3 linked regions of the Arabidopsis thaliana genome follow. The protein of the gene in region 3 interacts with the protein of the main gene of each other region in a pairwise test. Each region holds a gene or a part of one and is shown on either strand. Other genes may lie near its edges.

Region 1 (4,450 bases), on a different chromosome or scaffold from region 3:
AGCTCAAGAGCATGTTACTTTCTTAATGTAAACCAAGCTTAGAACAAAATAGCATGTTATTTTGAAAATAGCAATTAAGTAAGTGTTATTGCGAATAAATAAAAAGTTGATAGTCAATGTACCCAAGTCAAAAAAACACATCCATCAAAAGAACTTCATAAAATACTATTAAACGAAAGAGAATGTGATTAAGGAGATTTAGGGACGAAATAAGACAAAAACCAAAAGACAAAAAAGAAGAATAAAAAGATGGAGAGTGAGATAGAGAAGCATGTGGTGAGCATTTTAGGGTGTACGAGTCAGGTGAAGTTATATTCTCAAGGTGCACGCCTTCAACATTCTTAACTCTTACTAAACTCCATCCAAACTATGTTTTGTATTTGAGCCAGACAAAAAAACACTTATGTGAAAATAAAATTATAAGACAATAATAAGTTCTTCCACTAAAATCGTTTTTTTATATGGATAAGTAACACAAATTAAATAACCTTGCATTATAGATATACGAAATTTATACATATTTTACAGAGACAGACAGAGTTTATTGAGTACCAAAAAAAGAGGATGAATATTAATTTTATATTTTAGTACTCCAAAAGAGTTCTTCAAGTAAAGCTAAACTTTTTTAAGTAGAGAGAGATGGAGGCACTTTCTAAACACTTTTGTTGATAATCATCGCTTCATAATTGCAATTATCTTACGCTATCTTTACTCTAATAAAGTAATAAAAGGTTGAAAATATTGCAGAGACTGTAATTAACCTCTTGCGGCTCTGTTTTTCACAATATTTCAACCCTCGAATTCCACAGATTCTATATAAAATACAAACTTTATATAAAAAGAAATGCAAAACAAAGACTGGAAAGTGTAAACAACACTGCCCGACACCACCCTTGTCACAGAAGTTGCCTTTCTTGAGAACTGCTAAAACAATCAAGACGCCATGATTCTGTTGATGATGATGAAACTCAAAAGTTTATAATCTGTCAACACTCTGGATGATGGATTTGATTAGGATTTTGCAATGGAAGAAAAGATGGGTGGAATAATGGAAACGATGTAGGAGCAGAAGAGAAAGAGAGATTGGTTTGGTCAAGCTTGGGTCTCAAGTTTTCTAAAGCTTTTACTTGTGCTCTAAGGAACTTGAGATAATTAGCAGCTTCATCAAGCATTGATGCAGTATCCATCTTCGTCCCACCTGGAACCAATGTTTGTAAAACCCTAATCTTCTCACTTATCCTCTCCCTTCTCTGTCTCGCTGCAACCGTTTGAGGATCCGTCGATATCTTGACGTTCTTCCTCTTAGGCTTCTCCACAATCTCTAACCCGAAATTCACCGGTCTAAATGCAGCCGCTCTGTATATCATCTCCTTCATTTGTGCAATCGCCTCAGCATCGGGCTCGACATTGTCAGACAAACAAGTTGAATGTTGGAAACTAATGTTCGAAGAACCGCCTCGTTCTTTCTCTGTTCTTGGTTTCTTTGATTTCGATTGATTCTCATCGTATATAAGCTTGAAACCTCCTTTCTCCGAATCATCTTGAGGATGAACAAGACTAAAGTGACTTCCTGTCTCGTCTCCTCTGTTTCTCTTCAAAGACTTAGGTTTTGTTGTTGTTGTTGTAGTCTCAGTAGTTCCTCCATCTCCTCCTCTGTTTCTCTTCAAAGGCTTAGGCTTTATCGTTGTTGTCGTCTCAGTAGTGATCTCTCTGTTCTCAGACTCTGCAGATGAGACTCCACCAAAGCTCCAAAGAGTCTGACAATCTGAGAAAAGCACAGATATTCCTTCATCGTCCTCCGTCGAGGTGTTGTTGCTATTCGACGTCGCAGATAACAAACAATCGAGTGATGATGGATCTATCGAGCTAGCTCTGTTGCCAACATGTTGCTGCTGTTGAATCTCACCTAAGACTCCAAGATCAGACATGAAACAGCTGCTAAGATTCGGATTAATGAGTTGGTGGTGATAAGAAGAAGAAGAACAGAGTTCTCGAGCCATTAGCTCATTTCCTCCCCAAATCAAATCTGATCCTTGATGCTCCATGATTTTGCTCTCTCGTGTCATTCCATACATAGCTTGAGCGTACACAGATTCCAATCCTTCCATCGGATCAAACACAATCCTAAAAACACCCAAAACAAAGACAAATGTGAGAGGCATACTTAGAAACAGAGCATATTTGTAAACAGACATGAAACCTAAATATTTCTTGTTACATGCAGGGAAAAATGATAAAAGCTGATCTTTAAACCAACCTCGTTGTAATAACGGCAGGACATGAAAAAGTGAAACCGGAAGAAGAGAACAAACAGATGAGTTCACAGGAAACTCTGAGAAACGTTTCTTCTGTCTTAAAGAGATGACACCCAAAAAGGGAAAGAAAGAGAAAACAGAGGAAAGAAACAGAAAGAAGAAATGCTCAAAAAGGAAAGAAAGTAAAACAGTCTGTAAATGAGGTTTATTTCTGTGCTGTAGACTTAGAAAGCTCTGTTTCTGTTCTGTTCTATAATGAGCTCTCTGCTAGAGTTATAGATAGTTTCTGTAAGAAAAGACTTGAAAGCCCTATACACCCCTCCTACTATTCATACTCAGATTTGTTATTATGCACATATTTATATATAGAATAAATATTAAATATATTTGTATATTTATTATATATATATAATAGTATTATTTTTAAAAAGGTCCCAACTTTCGATGAGATCAATTGTTCCTCTGTATCAAGCACTAGTTCTGTACTTCTGTAAATTGGTATGGATGGTTAACTTTAAGAATTAGGATTAGTGTAACTTTAAGAATTAAATCCCTATTTTGATATACTTTAAAACATATATATGAGCGCCGTCAAAGGAAAAAAACTTTTAACTAGTATACCGGTAAACTAATTAACTACTCAAACGATTAATTTTTATATTTTACTTTTGAGTTAGGTAATTTTTTTACCAAATTTTATGATGATCAAATCATTAATGGATGCGATTTAGATGATTTAACTATTATTTCCAGTGACATGCATATGCAAACTCGAATATGGAACGTTATCGACACGTTAAATTGAAGACGCCGGCGGCGACAACTTTACTTTCGTAGAAGATGAAACTATTGAAGTTGATCTCGATTAATTTTGCGATATATCTGATATCTCTAAGTGAGATTTTGTTGGATAATAGATACACGACTATCAAAATTGAATTTAAAAGTTGTCACCGAAACTAAACGTTAGAGTTTACAACACTCCCGAATCTAAACTTAAAACATCTCCTAAACCGGATTATTTAATAATTTCTTAATCCAAAATTATTTAATTTTTCATGGTCAAAAATAATGTCACACGCGCAAAGAGAAAAGTGAGATCACTGATTCATTAACCTAAAGCTAACCGAATGATTTGTATTAAAATATAGAAAATAATCTAGACGATTGAATTATATATTTATTTAAATGAGGTTGGTGTGCATAATAGTTTCTGCAATCGAAGAGCATCTTTTTTTGAAACCCTAGAAAATAGATATAATACTTGATAAAAATCATAGACTATATGATTATGCACTTGATGAATACTGAAAAGGGATATGTAATTAAAAATCTACGAGTGCTTGAGCAGAGAAAAAGGACTGACAATCCTTTTAGCGTCGTGCGAACTGAAAACTTTAAGGGAGAGATCGAAAGAAAGTTTTAGGTTTTGGATCTTTTATTTTTTGGTGAATAACAGATTAATGTTGATTGTATATTTTATTTTAAAAATGATCAAGCTGTAAAAGTAATTCATGATTCTATTATCTATACCATTTTCTTATTCTTTTCTATGTGTTTGTTTAATTTACCTTTTCGCTATCATCATCAGTCAATAATGATCAATATCCTCATCTCGATCTATCTAGCAACACTTTCTTGTATAGTTTATCTTCATTTCTTTTGGCTAGAACGTGTTATATAAAAATACCAAACACTCTTTTTGTGGATTTATTTGATTATATATAATCATGATATCATATATAATCGATGTGGAACACTTTTTGGAGTAGTTTTCGAAAACTTTGTAATTTCCATATACCAGTAGAGAAGTACATTATTAGTCGCTTCTTATTTCCCAAGTCGTTCCTCCTTAGGCTTGAAATAACCAACATTCGAGAACCTAAACCAATAACGCCAATATAGTTTTATTGTATATTTGTATGAACTTATATCTTTACTATGTAAGAACAATTTGTAGTAGTATTTATAATTTGAGATACTAATTGTAAATTTTGAACATTCTTTTACAATATTGATAACTTTCTAGTTCCTATTTTTATTCAAAGTCGTCACTAATCCACACTAATCCATTAGTAGTTTAACCGTCACATAAGTCGGTGATCCGTCTATAATAGTAAAAGATCATCTTAAAGTTAACAATTTTTTTTTTTTGATGTTTGGCAATGTCAAATTAATCGGTTATAGTTACTACA
Region 2 (5,143 bases), on a different chromosome or scaffold from region 3:
CATATATATGTGGACTAATGGTAGTTAGTTAGAGTTACTCTTAAGTTTTAAGCGATAAAGGAATTTTGTTTTGTTTTTGACAGAAAAATATGTTCTCTAGTCACATATTTTAACGAAAAGTTTTAAAATAGCTTATCTAACAAAAAGCAAGTGTACAACATAAAATCCAACTTTTGGATTTATTTCACCACTTTCGGACACAATTGTAATAAGAACGGAAAGTTTCGAAAAGGGACAATAAATCAACTAAAGACGAAAAAGGATTAAGGTGAAAATCTTGATGCCGTTGACTTTTGTTCTCAACGGCCATGATTGAGCGTGTGATGAGTATAAGAGACCAAATTATGGCTATTTCTAATAACCCCAAAAAATAAATTGATTGATGAGTTTTTCTTCATTTGATATGTAATTATAATCACTTATTCCATTTCAAGATTTGTGGATATCTATTGATATTCTCTACCACTATCAAGAAGCTAAAAGTGTATTAAGTGCATGTACATTAGCTTAGGCCGAGAAGTTTTTTTTTTTTTTTTTTAAAGGTGATGTATTTGTGGCACTTAGGCTTAGGCATGTAATGTGTGGTGTGAGATGTTGCGCGACTTGCGAGTAACAAAAATGGGTCTCAAATATTGAGGCATGTATTTCTAACGTTTGCTATATATGCCTTTGATGTTCTCTAAATTCTATTTTATATCGTATTTCCATAGTAATATTCAGTAAAATCATGAAATTCGAAGGTTGATATCAGAGTTTATATAGTATAAAGTTTTAAGATATAAATAATCCATTGAAAACTCAAAACATAGGTACAAAATAGCACCATGTACAAATAAATAGCTAAAATAAAGTAATAAAGTAACAAATTAAAACACGTTTAATACTATTCATGAACTAATGTTCAAGTCTATTTAACATTCACATTTTTCCTTGCTTGTGATCTTCTATATAAACTTAAAATTAAACATGCATGGTTTCCTGATAATAATAAGATGTTTAGTTATATTAAAGAAAAAAGATAGTAGCTCTCAAGACTTAAGGCGGAAGCATAACCTTATTTTTTTTAGGTTGGTACCACAAGAGACCACAACTAAACATTTGGATGAATATAGGTATAACAAATCTCTTATGATATGTATATATCTGGCTTATATATGAATGCATACTCTACGAATGTATGTGACTGCTGACGACATTGGTGTTAGACTGTTGATATAATTATATGAGGCAGTGGATCGAGATTTGAGAACTACTTAAGTCAAGATTATCATACCGAGAATTCAAGATTTAGGTGACACATATTTTGGGAACCTCATTGGCCCATACACTAAAGAGGCGGTCATTCTTTCTTTATAACTCTAAACCATATTTTCCAACCAAAAACGGTCGATGTTAAGCTTTAATATGATGTTCAAGATATAGGATACGAGGGAGAAGATGATCGCTAGAAACTCCACAGCACCATTTATCTTCCTCTGTTGTGGGGATCACATTCTCCTCATTTTTATTTTTCCATTGCACCAGTTTCCACTATAGAAATTTTCATCAAATGTTAGTTAATTAATCATATCTAAATATATTGAATACTATTAAAGTATATCATAAATTCGTATCGAGTATTTAATGAATCGATGATAAAAAGTAAAATCAAAATAAAATCTCCCTTTATGGAAATTATACCCTCGAAGATCCTCTCCCGTCCTAAATTTTTCAAAAGACAACAAATAAATATATAGTAATCAAAGCAAACTTTTTCACTAAACCGGCAATAGCCGGTGTAATTCACGTCACTTCCGGGACAAAAGCGTGACTGGACACCGGCAGACAAATCACATCAAATAAATAATAGTAATATATTTAATTCCTCAGACAAAAAGGCTCTTCCACTTCTTATCGAATTACAAACATTTCATGTTATTGTTTGGTTATATATATAGAGAGACAAAGCTCTTAACTCCTTTTTAATTGCTTGAACAAAAAGCAAAACTCAAAGGAATTTTCTCTGTATTTTTTTCTATCTGCAGAAAATTAAAGAAAAAAAGAGAAAACTCAAAAACCCACATTTTTCCTCTGTTTCCAGCTTTTCTTTATCTTTGGAGTTTGGTTTCTGGAGAAGACAAAAGTTGTTGTCCTTTTTAAGAGTTCGAGATCCTGCAGAAATTAAAAGGGCTCTTCCCGGCTTGGATTCCTAAATATGGGTTCAGAGTATAAGCATATATTGAAGAGTCTCTGTTTAAGCCATGGATGGTCTTATGCTGTGTTTTGGCGTTATGATCCCATCAATTCCATGTAATTTCTCTCTTTTTTCTTTCGAATGTTATATGCATGTTCCTGTCTTGGATAATATTTGCATAAAACTAGTTTTGTTTTCCGTTGATTTAGGCAAAAGACTGAATTGCATATCCTCTGGTTTTATATGTGGCTTCCCTACTTTGGTGTCCATAAATGTAATTTAGTTTTGTTGAATTCCATCAGGATATTGAGATTTGAAGAAGCATACAATGATGAACAATCAGTCGCACTAGTTGATGATATGGTTCTCCAGGCTCCTATCTTAGGCCAAGGGTATGCTTTTACACTTCACTCAAATCTTTTATATATCTGTCTCTGTGTTTGTGTTTATATATCTTCAATATACTTTTCTTTTGATGAAATTAGAATTGTGGGAGAAGTAGCTTCATCCGGAAACCATCAATGGCTGTTCTCAGACACATTGTTTCAGGTTTGTTCACTTCTTTTTCTTGGTGTTTGATTTTTCTCATCTGTGAGCTATAATGTATGTCGAAATATAGTGACTGCATAGAACATTTCATGATGAAGAAGAAAAAAGATTTGATATTCGTGCGTTTGATTGTTTTGCAGTGGGAACATGAGTTTCAGAATCAGTTTCTCTGTGGCTTTAAGGTAATTTATATTTTGTCTTCTCTCCAAGTTTAAGGATTCATATATCCATTTTGAATCAGATTCTTATACGGCAGTTTACTTATACACAGACTATCGCAATCATTCCACTAGGATCCAGCGGCGTTGTTCAGCTAGGATCTACTCAAAAGGTTTGCATATATAATTATATAACAATGTTTTCTTGTTGTGGAAGTCATGGTCTAATTACTTACTATCAATCTTTAGATTCTTGAGAGCACAGAGATATTGGAACAAACAACAAGAGCTCTCCAGGAGACGTGTTTAAAGCCACATGATTCCGGTGATCTCGATACTCTGTTTGAGTCACTGGGAGATTGTGAGATTTTCCCAGCTGAATCTTTTCAAGGATTTAGCTTTGATGACATCTTCGCTGAGGACAATCCTCCTTCTTTGCTCAGCCCTGAGATGATCTCCTCTGAAGCAGCTTCTTCCAACCAAGATCTGACCAATGGAGATGATTATGGGTTCGACATTCTCCAGTCTTACTCTCTGGACGATCTATACCAGCTGCTCGCTGATCCACCAGAACAGAACTGCTCTTCCATGGTGATCCAAGGAGTTGACAAGGATCTTTTCGACATTTTGGGGATGAATTCTCAAACGCCTACAATGGCTTTGCCACCTAAAGGACTCTTCTCAGAGCTCATAAGCAGCAGTCTTAGCAACAACACTTGTAGTAGTTCTCTCACGAACGTGCAAGAGTACTCTGGTGTGAACCAGAGCAAAAGACGGAAGCTTGATACATCATCGGCGCATAGCTCAAGCTTGTTCCCTCAGGAGGAGACAGTAACAAGTCGGAGTTTGTGGATTGATGATGATGAGAGATCAAGTATTGGAGGGAACTGGAAGAAGCCTCACGAAGAAGGTGTGAAGAAGAAAAGAGCAAAGGCAGGAGAAAGCAGGAGGCCGAGGCCTAAGGACCGTCAGATGATACAAGACCGTATCAAGGAGTTGCGAGGGATGATTCCAAATGGAGCTAAGGTAAATTGAATAATAATATAGTTTAGTTTAGGGCATCCAAATTATAGATTAACAAATGCATTCTCTAATAAGTTTCGATATATATTTAAACAGTGTAGCATAGATACGTTGCTGGATCTGACCATAAAACACATGGTGTTCATGCAAAGCCTCGCCAAGTATGCAGAGAGACTCAAACAACCATACGAGTCTAAGGTAATGAATCAAATATATCCATTCAGTAAGTACACAAGTGTTTGAGTATTGATGAGTGAATGATGTTTATCAGCTGGTGAAGGAGAAAGAGAGAACATGGGCGTTGGAAGTGGGGGAAGAAGGAGTGGTATGTCCGATAATGGTGGAGGAATTGAACAGGGAAGGAGAAATGCAGATAGAGATGGTGTGTGAGGAAAGAGAGGAGTTCTTGGAGATAGGACAAGTGGTGAGAGGATTGGGATTGAAGATATTGAAAGGAGTGATGGAAACAAGAAAAGGACAAATATGGGCACACTTCATCGTACAGGCAAAGCCACAAGTCACAAGGATTCAAGTCTTGTACTCACTTGTTCAGCTCTTTCAACACCACACCAAACATGATGATTTATTATCATAGTATAATACCTACCACTTTGATTTTCTTTCTTTTTGTTACAACAACAACACAAGAATCTGTTGATAAATAGTAGTAACATTACATCAAAGAAGATTGTATGGGCTCGTGGAAAAAAAAGAAGAAGATTGTATGGGCTTTAAAACATTGACTAAGACAAAGAAAGAAGGCCCATTTAAAGAAAAAAGGAACGTAACGACACCGTTTTGGGTGGATAACAGTTAACTGACTGAATCAGAAAATAGATGCCCGTTATCCTTGACGAGGATAAAGGGGAGACACTGTATATAAATAAAAAGTTGAACAAAGATCAAATCCTCAATCTGTTTTTAGGGTTTCGAGAGAGAGAGAGAAATTGATTTTTGTTGATATTTGTGAAATTTGGTGGCGAAATTGAAGCTTCTTCATCGGTCGTTGTCTAAAAGCAATGGTGGATGGTTGATGAATGGAGGAGATGCTCTTCTTCTTCTATCCAATAACAATAATAAGAGACACGACGCTGACACAAACGCAGAACCATCTCACCACCGTCATCATCTCGGAGATGGCCGCCACACTCCTCTGTTCCCGATCTCGATTCCGATCGGCGATCGACTCCTATTGCTTCGCCCGTGAGGCCTTCTCCGATCCAATCTCCTTCCATCTCCT
Region 3 (5,482 bases):
GAAGCTACATTTGTGTTCTTTCATCTTATCTAATGCTTGGTCATTTGAGAGAAGCCGAGGAGATTATCCATCAGTGGAAAGAGTCTAAAACGACAGAGTTTGATGCTTCTGCTTGCTTGAGGATCTTGAATGCTTTTCGAGATGTTGGTTTAGAGGGAATAGCCAGCGGCTTTCACTTGATCTTGGTGCATAACAAATGCAGCTTGGAGAATGAAGGATCATCTTAAGATGGAGAAATAAGTTGGTGAAAATTTTATGCTCTTAGCAAGAAGAATCAGATCAAGCTCATTAATCATGGTGGATGAATAAAATAGAGGTTTCTTCTCTTCACTGTGATTCTTAAATATCTTTTTGTTCTTTACGTGGGAGGTCATGAGACACATAGATTTCCTCACCAGAAGATTTTGCTGCATAGTCGGAAGATGTGTTTCCTTAGGCAAGGTCCATAACATTTCATATGTAACGTCAAATTTCAAAAAGTCCAAATTTTACAACAAAAAATAGATTGTGGAGGTTTTTCTTGTATGGTTGTTGTTTAATAATAAGTCTACAAAATTTGTTTTTGGTATAGAAAAAATGATAGTTTGAAAGGTTAGAGCAAAATCCTAGCATGTAAGAAGCCAAAGAAGGTTCCATTATTAACACTCGAGTTTATTACATGAACATGATACACAAACATGTTTAGACCCATGAGAGAAACAACAGAAGCAAATAACATTACAATAGTACAAAACTACAAGGCCTTTGAAGAGCTTAAGAGCCAGAGAGATTAGAAAAAACAAAAAAGATGACAAGTTATGGGATTGATAGCAACAGAAGAGTAATAATGAGACAAGAGAGAGTGGGGACATAGATTTTCACCTAATGAAAGTGGGAAGATTTCAATTTCCACAAGTCACAACCACTCCAAAAATTTCAATATTTGCCTTTTTGATTTTTCTTCATCCACACCCACCACCACCAGACCTTCACAGAGATATTATTATTACTCACGAGTAAAGATAATTATTAACGATCAATGAGCACCAAGACTTTGCTTTTTTCCCTTCTTTCACTTTTCTTCCACTCCAAGCACAGAAGAAAGTGACTTTTTTTTGGTTCTTTTTTGAGAGAGCATGCCAAATCCAAAAGTAAACCACTATTGATCCAGCTAGATGAACAGTGGATACGGTCCCACTAGGGTCACCAGGCGTGTTCTAATTGTTTCAAACCCACGTTAATGAATTTGAGAGAATCTTCTTCATCAGTCCTTTACCTCATTGATTATCTTTTGTCCCATGTCTTCTCTTTAACCAACCAAACATGCCTTATCAATAGGACAAAAGGGGTTGTAGGTTTTTCACCAATGGTTATTCAAACCCTTTGATGAGTTTAAGCTTTGCTTCAGCAACTTGAGGTAATCAATGGCTTCGTCTAGTAGTAAAAGAGCTTCTTTTCCCTTTGCCCCTGGAACTACACTCTCCAGGATTCTCAGAGCGGTGTGAATCTTGTCTTTTCTTGACTGCTCGTCGCTCAAACCAGAACCCGTTTCTTGTTTGCTTGAAATGTTTGATTCAGGAAGGTTTTCATCTGATAAGCCTTTGACTTTAGTGGTGCCCACAAGGGATGGTGATGAGTCTCTGTACGAATGGTCCAGTAGTTTCTGTCTTTTAAGAAGTGGACCATCAACAGTGCTTTCAGTTTCATCCAGCTCTTCTGTTGTTATGTTGCACGCTTGTTGTTCAACTGTGAATGGAGAGTGACCAGTGCTCATTACTTCATCATCACTTTCCCAATCATCATTATCGTCATCATCAGAATACAGTAACGCGTTGATTTCCTCAGTGTCTTCGTGCATTTCCGAGTCTTCTTCGCCATTTTCATGATCTTCATGTTGCAATATCTTTTCTTGAATGGCATGATCTTTACTAAACCCTTTCTCTGGGTGTAGGGCACCGAGAATGTTCCCTCGCTCTGCATCCATAGAAGAAGGAAACCGCAGAGGAAATCCACATTGTAACAAACGAGTCTGCTCTCCCGACTGATCGAATACTATAAATCTTTTCCGAGAAGACTTGAGTGCCCCCTCTGGAGCAGCACCGTTGCTAGATCGCCCATTCAAACATGAAACTTGTTTTCCACAAGACTGCTGATCATATCTAGACAATAAGGCTTGGAACGGTGGCTGCAAATAGCGAAACTGATGCTCAGCTGCATAAACTTTACCGAGTTCCGGAAAAGGAATTCCAGGACGGAAATACTCAGTCGCCTTGTCCTGGACACAAGCTTGAGGATTTAAGCCTAATGGCAACCATTTCTGCTGTTTGGTATCAAGAGGCATGCTCTTGCAGTTTAAGCCAAGGGAACTTTACAGGAATACAATACTGCACGAAAAAGGAAAGGGACTAATCATTGGACATGGCTATGAATGAGACAACTACTAGTAGCCCAACTCAAGAAAGCAATAATCCATAAAGAGTCAAAGATTCAGTTAGCATACCGATTGTGGAAGCTGTTGCTCAAATGTGTGGAACGCAACACTTGTTGATTCTTTCTTGAAACAATCGTATAAGAAAGTAGAGACAAAAAGAAAAAAGGTGCCAGCTCCAAAAATACAAACACAAGCTCACAAACCAACTACGTCACTGGTTTGAGTATATGTCTAAAGTATTCAGCCTGCAAGTGGAACAGAGACAAAAGTGTTAGATAAGAAACACAGGACTATGAGATGAAATGTGACAAAAAAAAGAGTATAATATCATTTTTGCTGCAACAAACCTGACAATTATCCATCGGTTGGAAGCAAGCAATAACTCTCACTACAATTGTTGGTCTGCTAGAGTCTCCGTTGTTCTCGTACTTGAATGTTCGAAATCTTGTTTGACCAGCTGATTGACTTACCATAATAATAACTTTTCCAAACTCTCGAATGTAAAACTAGTGTTTCTCCACAGAACAGAGTAAGTCACCAAAAGACAGATGACTTGAAGAAGAAAAAGAGAAGCTTTAAGGGTTTAGATGATCCTATACTGGTCACAGTGGAAAACGTAGAAACGTTGGGATCCCATTATTAAAGAGTTTAGAAAAGGCTGAGGATTTAGAAGAAGATTGAAGATGGGGTTTTTCAAGGCAGAGAAAAAGTTTACAGAATAACTCGGCAATACAGATTCAAGCTCACAACTTTACGGTACACATCAACAGACCTTGTGAACCAACTCATGCTGTTTTTCTCATTCACTGCTTTGTTGTGATCCAGAGAAAGAGAGAAGAATTCTGTTACAAAACAGAGAATCATCTCATCAAATTCCAGTAATAACAAACCAAAGAAACCAAACATTCACAACAATTGAAAGGATAGAGAAACCATAAACAGCAGAAGAAGATAAGTACATGTTCTGCAGCATTGAACAAGTATAATTTATTTTAGCAAAATCAAGAACTAAAAGCTTGGATTTTGCAAGCCAAGCTACGAAAATAGAAGAATTTATCCGTTTTGGTAACGATTTAAACACATTTGCATCAAATTCGCTGATAATTCAACTTTTTCGAGGAATAAAAAAACAGAGAGAGCACAGCGACAAACAATGGTTAAGTGAATCCAAGAAGCGTACATGGAGGAAAACAGAGGAAGATCTATGCGTGGAGATCCAGAGAGAGTGGAGAGGTTTATGAGACGAATTCACGAAAGCTTGAACGGATAAGAAACGAGAAAGCGGAATATTATTTCGAAAATATATTTTTAGCAAATTCACTAAAAGTGGGCGTGAAGACTGAAGTGTGTGACATTGCTTTATACATCTTCTTATTTCTTGTGACGATTTTACCCTTTTCCACCACTTTATTTACCGTCAATAATGGAGACCAGGAAAAGAAAAAGAAAAAGAAAAAAACAGTTCACATCAACCAAGTTTATTTCAGATTTTTTTTTTTTTTTTTTCATTTTTCTTTCTCTTCCAAAATTTAGATAACCAAGCTGGAACATCAACTCTAAAAACTCATTTGAGCAAAACATAACACCATCTCCATTGCCCAACTTTATTTTCTTCTATTTTAATATTAACTCAATTTAAGAAGAAATATAATTAATTTTACTCTATTATATATTTTAGAATAGAGTTACTACTAAAATAGAAGAAAAATGTAGAGATTACTCTATAAATAGAACAAAAGACAACTTACTCTATATTTGTTTTCTATTTTAGAGAAAACTTTATTTTAGAGTCATACAATGAAATAAAATACCTTTAAAATAGAGTCAATTTTAAAATAGAAGAAAAAATAGAATTGAACATTGGATATAGTCTTATTATTTTGATTTTTTACTATTCTTTTTAGTAGAAATTAAAACTAAAATACACTTTAGTATGAGTTTCAATTCATATTTCTAACACATATTTTTTATAAAGAAAAATTAAATTTATTTAATTCAGTTCAATTTAAATTTATTTTAGAAAATACATATAGTATAATTTAAAATGCATATAATTTTGAATTGAATGGTAGAAATAATCTAAATATTTTTATTAGTTTGGATGGTTGCAATGGGACGAGGAGTAGAGGAGGTGGAACGTAGAATATATGTAATTATGATGTATAATGGCAAACCCTCGCGATCCATAATTTCAAGCCATAAATTAATAATTATGTAATATCATAAACGTGAGAATTTCTTAGTAGTTCGTTAAAGTAAAGCCATTATATGTTCGTCTTCTTTTTAACTTTTTTTTTTTTTTTGGGGGGGGGGGCAACGTTTTTTCTTTATAATTATGAGCCAAATAGTGGAAGTGAGTTTTTAACCATTTTGGTGGTTTCTATAATCATTATTTTTAAAGTATTAACCTTTCTTTTTAGGTGTGTGGGTGGGATGATTTGGAACATTTATGTCTTTACGATGACGCGATACAAATTGAACTATATACATTGTAACATATTTGACTAGTTTAGTAGCTAGCTAAATAATACAATATTTTTGACGTGGCTTATAAAACACCAATTTAGCCCACTCGTTTTTTCATATATAATTACGAACTATTGTACATGATATTTTAATAAGTGATTGAGGTGAAAAACGTTGGAGCATCCACCAAATTCCATGATCATAGGAGAAAGAAAAGAAAACGAATAAAGAGGTAAGCAAGTTTGGTGAAAGAAGAAAAAAAAAGAAAAAGAGAAAGAGACGCAAGTGAATGATTAAAAAAATGCACAGGGAATTAAGTGCTTAATTGCCTTGATGACTTCTTTTTCTTTTTGGAACATTTTTTCTAAAGATTTTAATTTCTCGTTGAATCTTTTTTCTTTATTTTGATGTGATATGAGATTTGAGAATAGTCGTTGCCGTGTGAGATCAGTGGACCCAAATGCCTACTATGTACTTCAAAATTCTTAAAATTTTAGGAAACAATTATTATGTGTTCTATTCGGAAGCAAATCATTGAAACATGTTAAAAGAAAGACAGTTAGATAGAAATTTCAGTGTGAAAAAACAAAACATAGAAATTTCAGT

Evidence for each region.
Region 1: the proteins of AT5G09460 (region 3) and AT3G21330 interact in binary tests that used the Arabidopsis thaliana proteins (3 or more experiments, as listed by UniProt).
Region 2: the proteins of AT5G09460 (region 3) and AT1G64625 interact in binary tests that used the Arabidopsis thaliana proteins (3 or more experiments, as listed by UniProt).

The regions. Positions count from the first base shown.
Region 1 is NC_003074.8:7,505,378-7,509,827, reverse strand, and holds AT3G21330 (basic helix-loop-helix (bHLH) DNA-binding superfamily protein), read right to left. Parts: upstream 2,589-4,450; 5' UTR 2,258-2,588; intron 2,125-2,257; 5' UTR 2,109-2,124; coding exon 987-2,108; 3' UTR 642-986; downstream 1-641.
Region 2 is NC_003070.9:24,014,684-24,019,826, forward strand, and holds AT1G64625 (Serine/threonine-protein kinase WNK (With No Lysine)-like protein), read left to right. Parts: upstream 1-1,972; 5' UTR 1,973-2,194; coding exon 2,195-2,289; intron 2,290-2,475; coding exon 2,476-2,565; intron 2,566-2,658; coding exon 2,659-2,722; intron 2,723-2,862; coding exon 2,863-2,904; intron 2,905-2,963; coding exon 2,964-3,053; intron 3,054-3,129; coding exon 3,130-3,906; intron 3,907-3,999; coding exon 4,000-4,101; coding exon of another isoform or gene 4,102-4,146; exon of another isoform or gene 4,147-4,174; coding exon 4,175-4,498; 3' UTR 4,499-4,588; downstream 4,589-5,143. UniProt on the Arabidopsis thaliana protein: Transcription factor that may regulate root development.
Region 3 is NC_003076.8:2,943,098-2,948,579, forward strand, and holds AT5G09460 (transcription factor bHLH143), read right to left. Parts: upstream 3,743-5,482; 5' UTR 3,591-3,742; intron 3,253-3,590; 5' UTR 2,758-3,252; intron 2,656-2,757; 5' UTR 2,480-2,655; intron 2,364-2,479; 5' UTR 2,321-2,363; coding exon 1,340-2,320; 3' UTR 641-1,339; downstream 1-640. Other genes in the region: AT5G09450 (Tetratricopeptide repeat (TPR)-like superfamily protein), read left to right, coding at 1-227.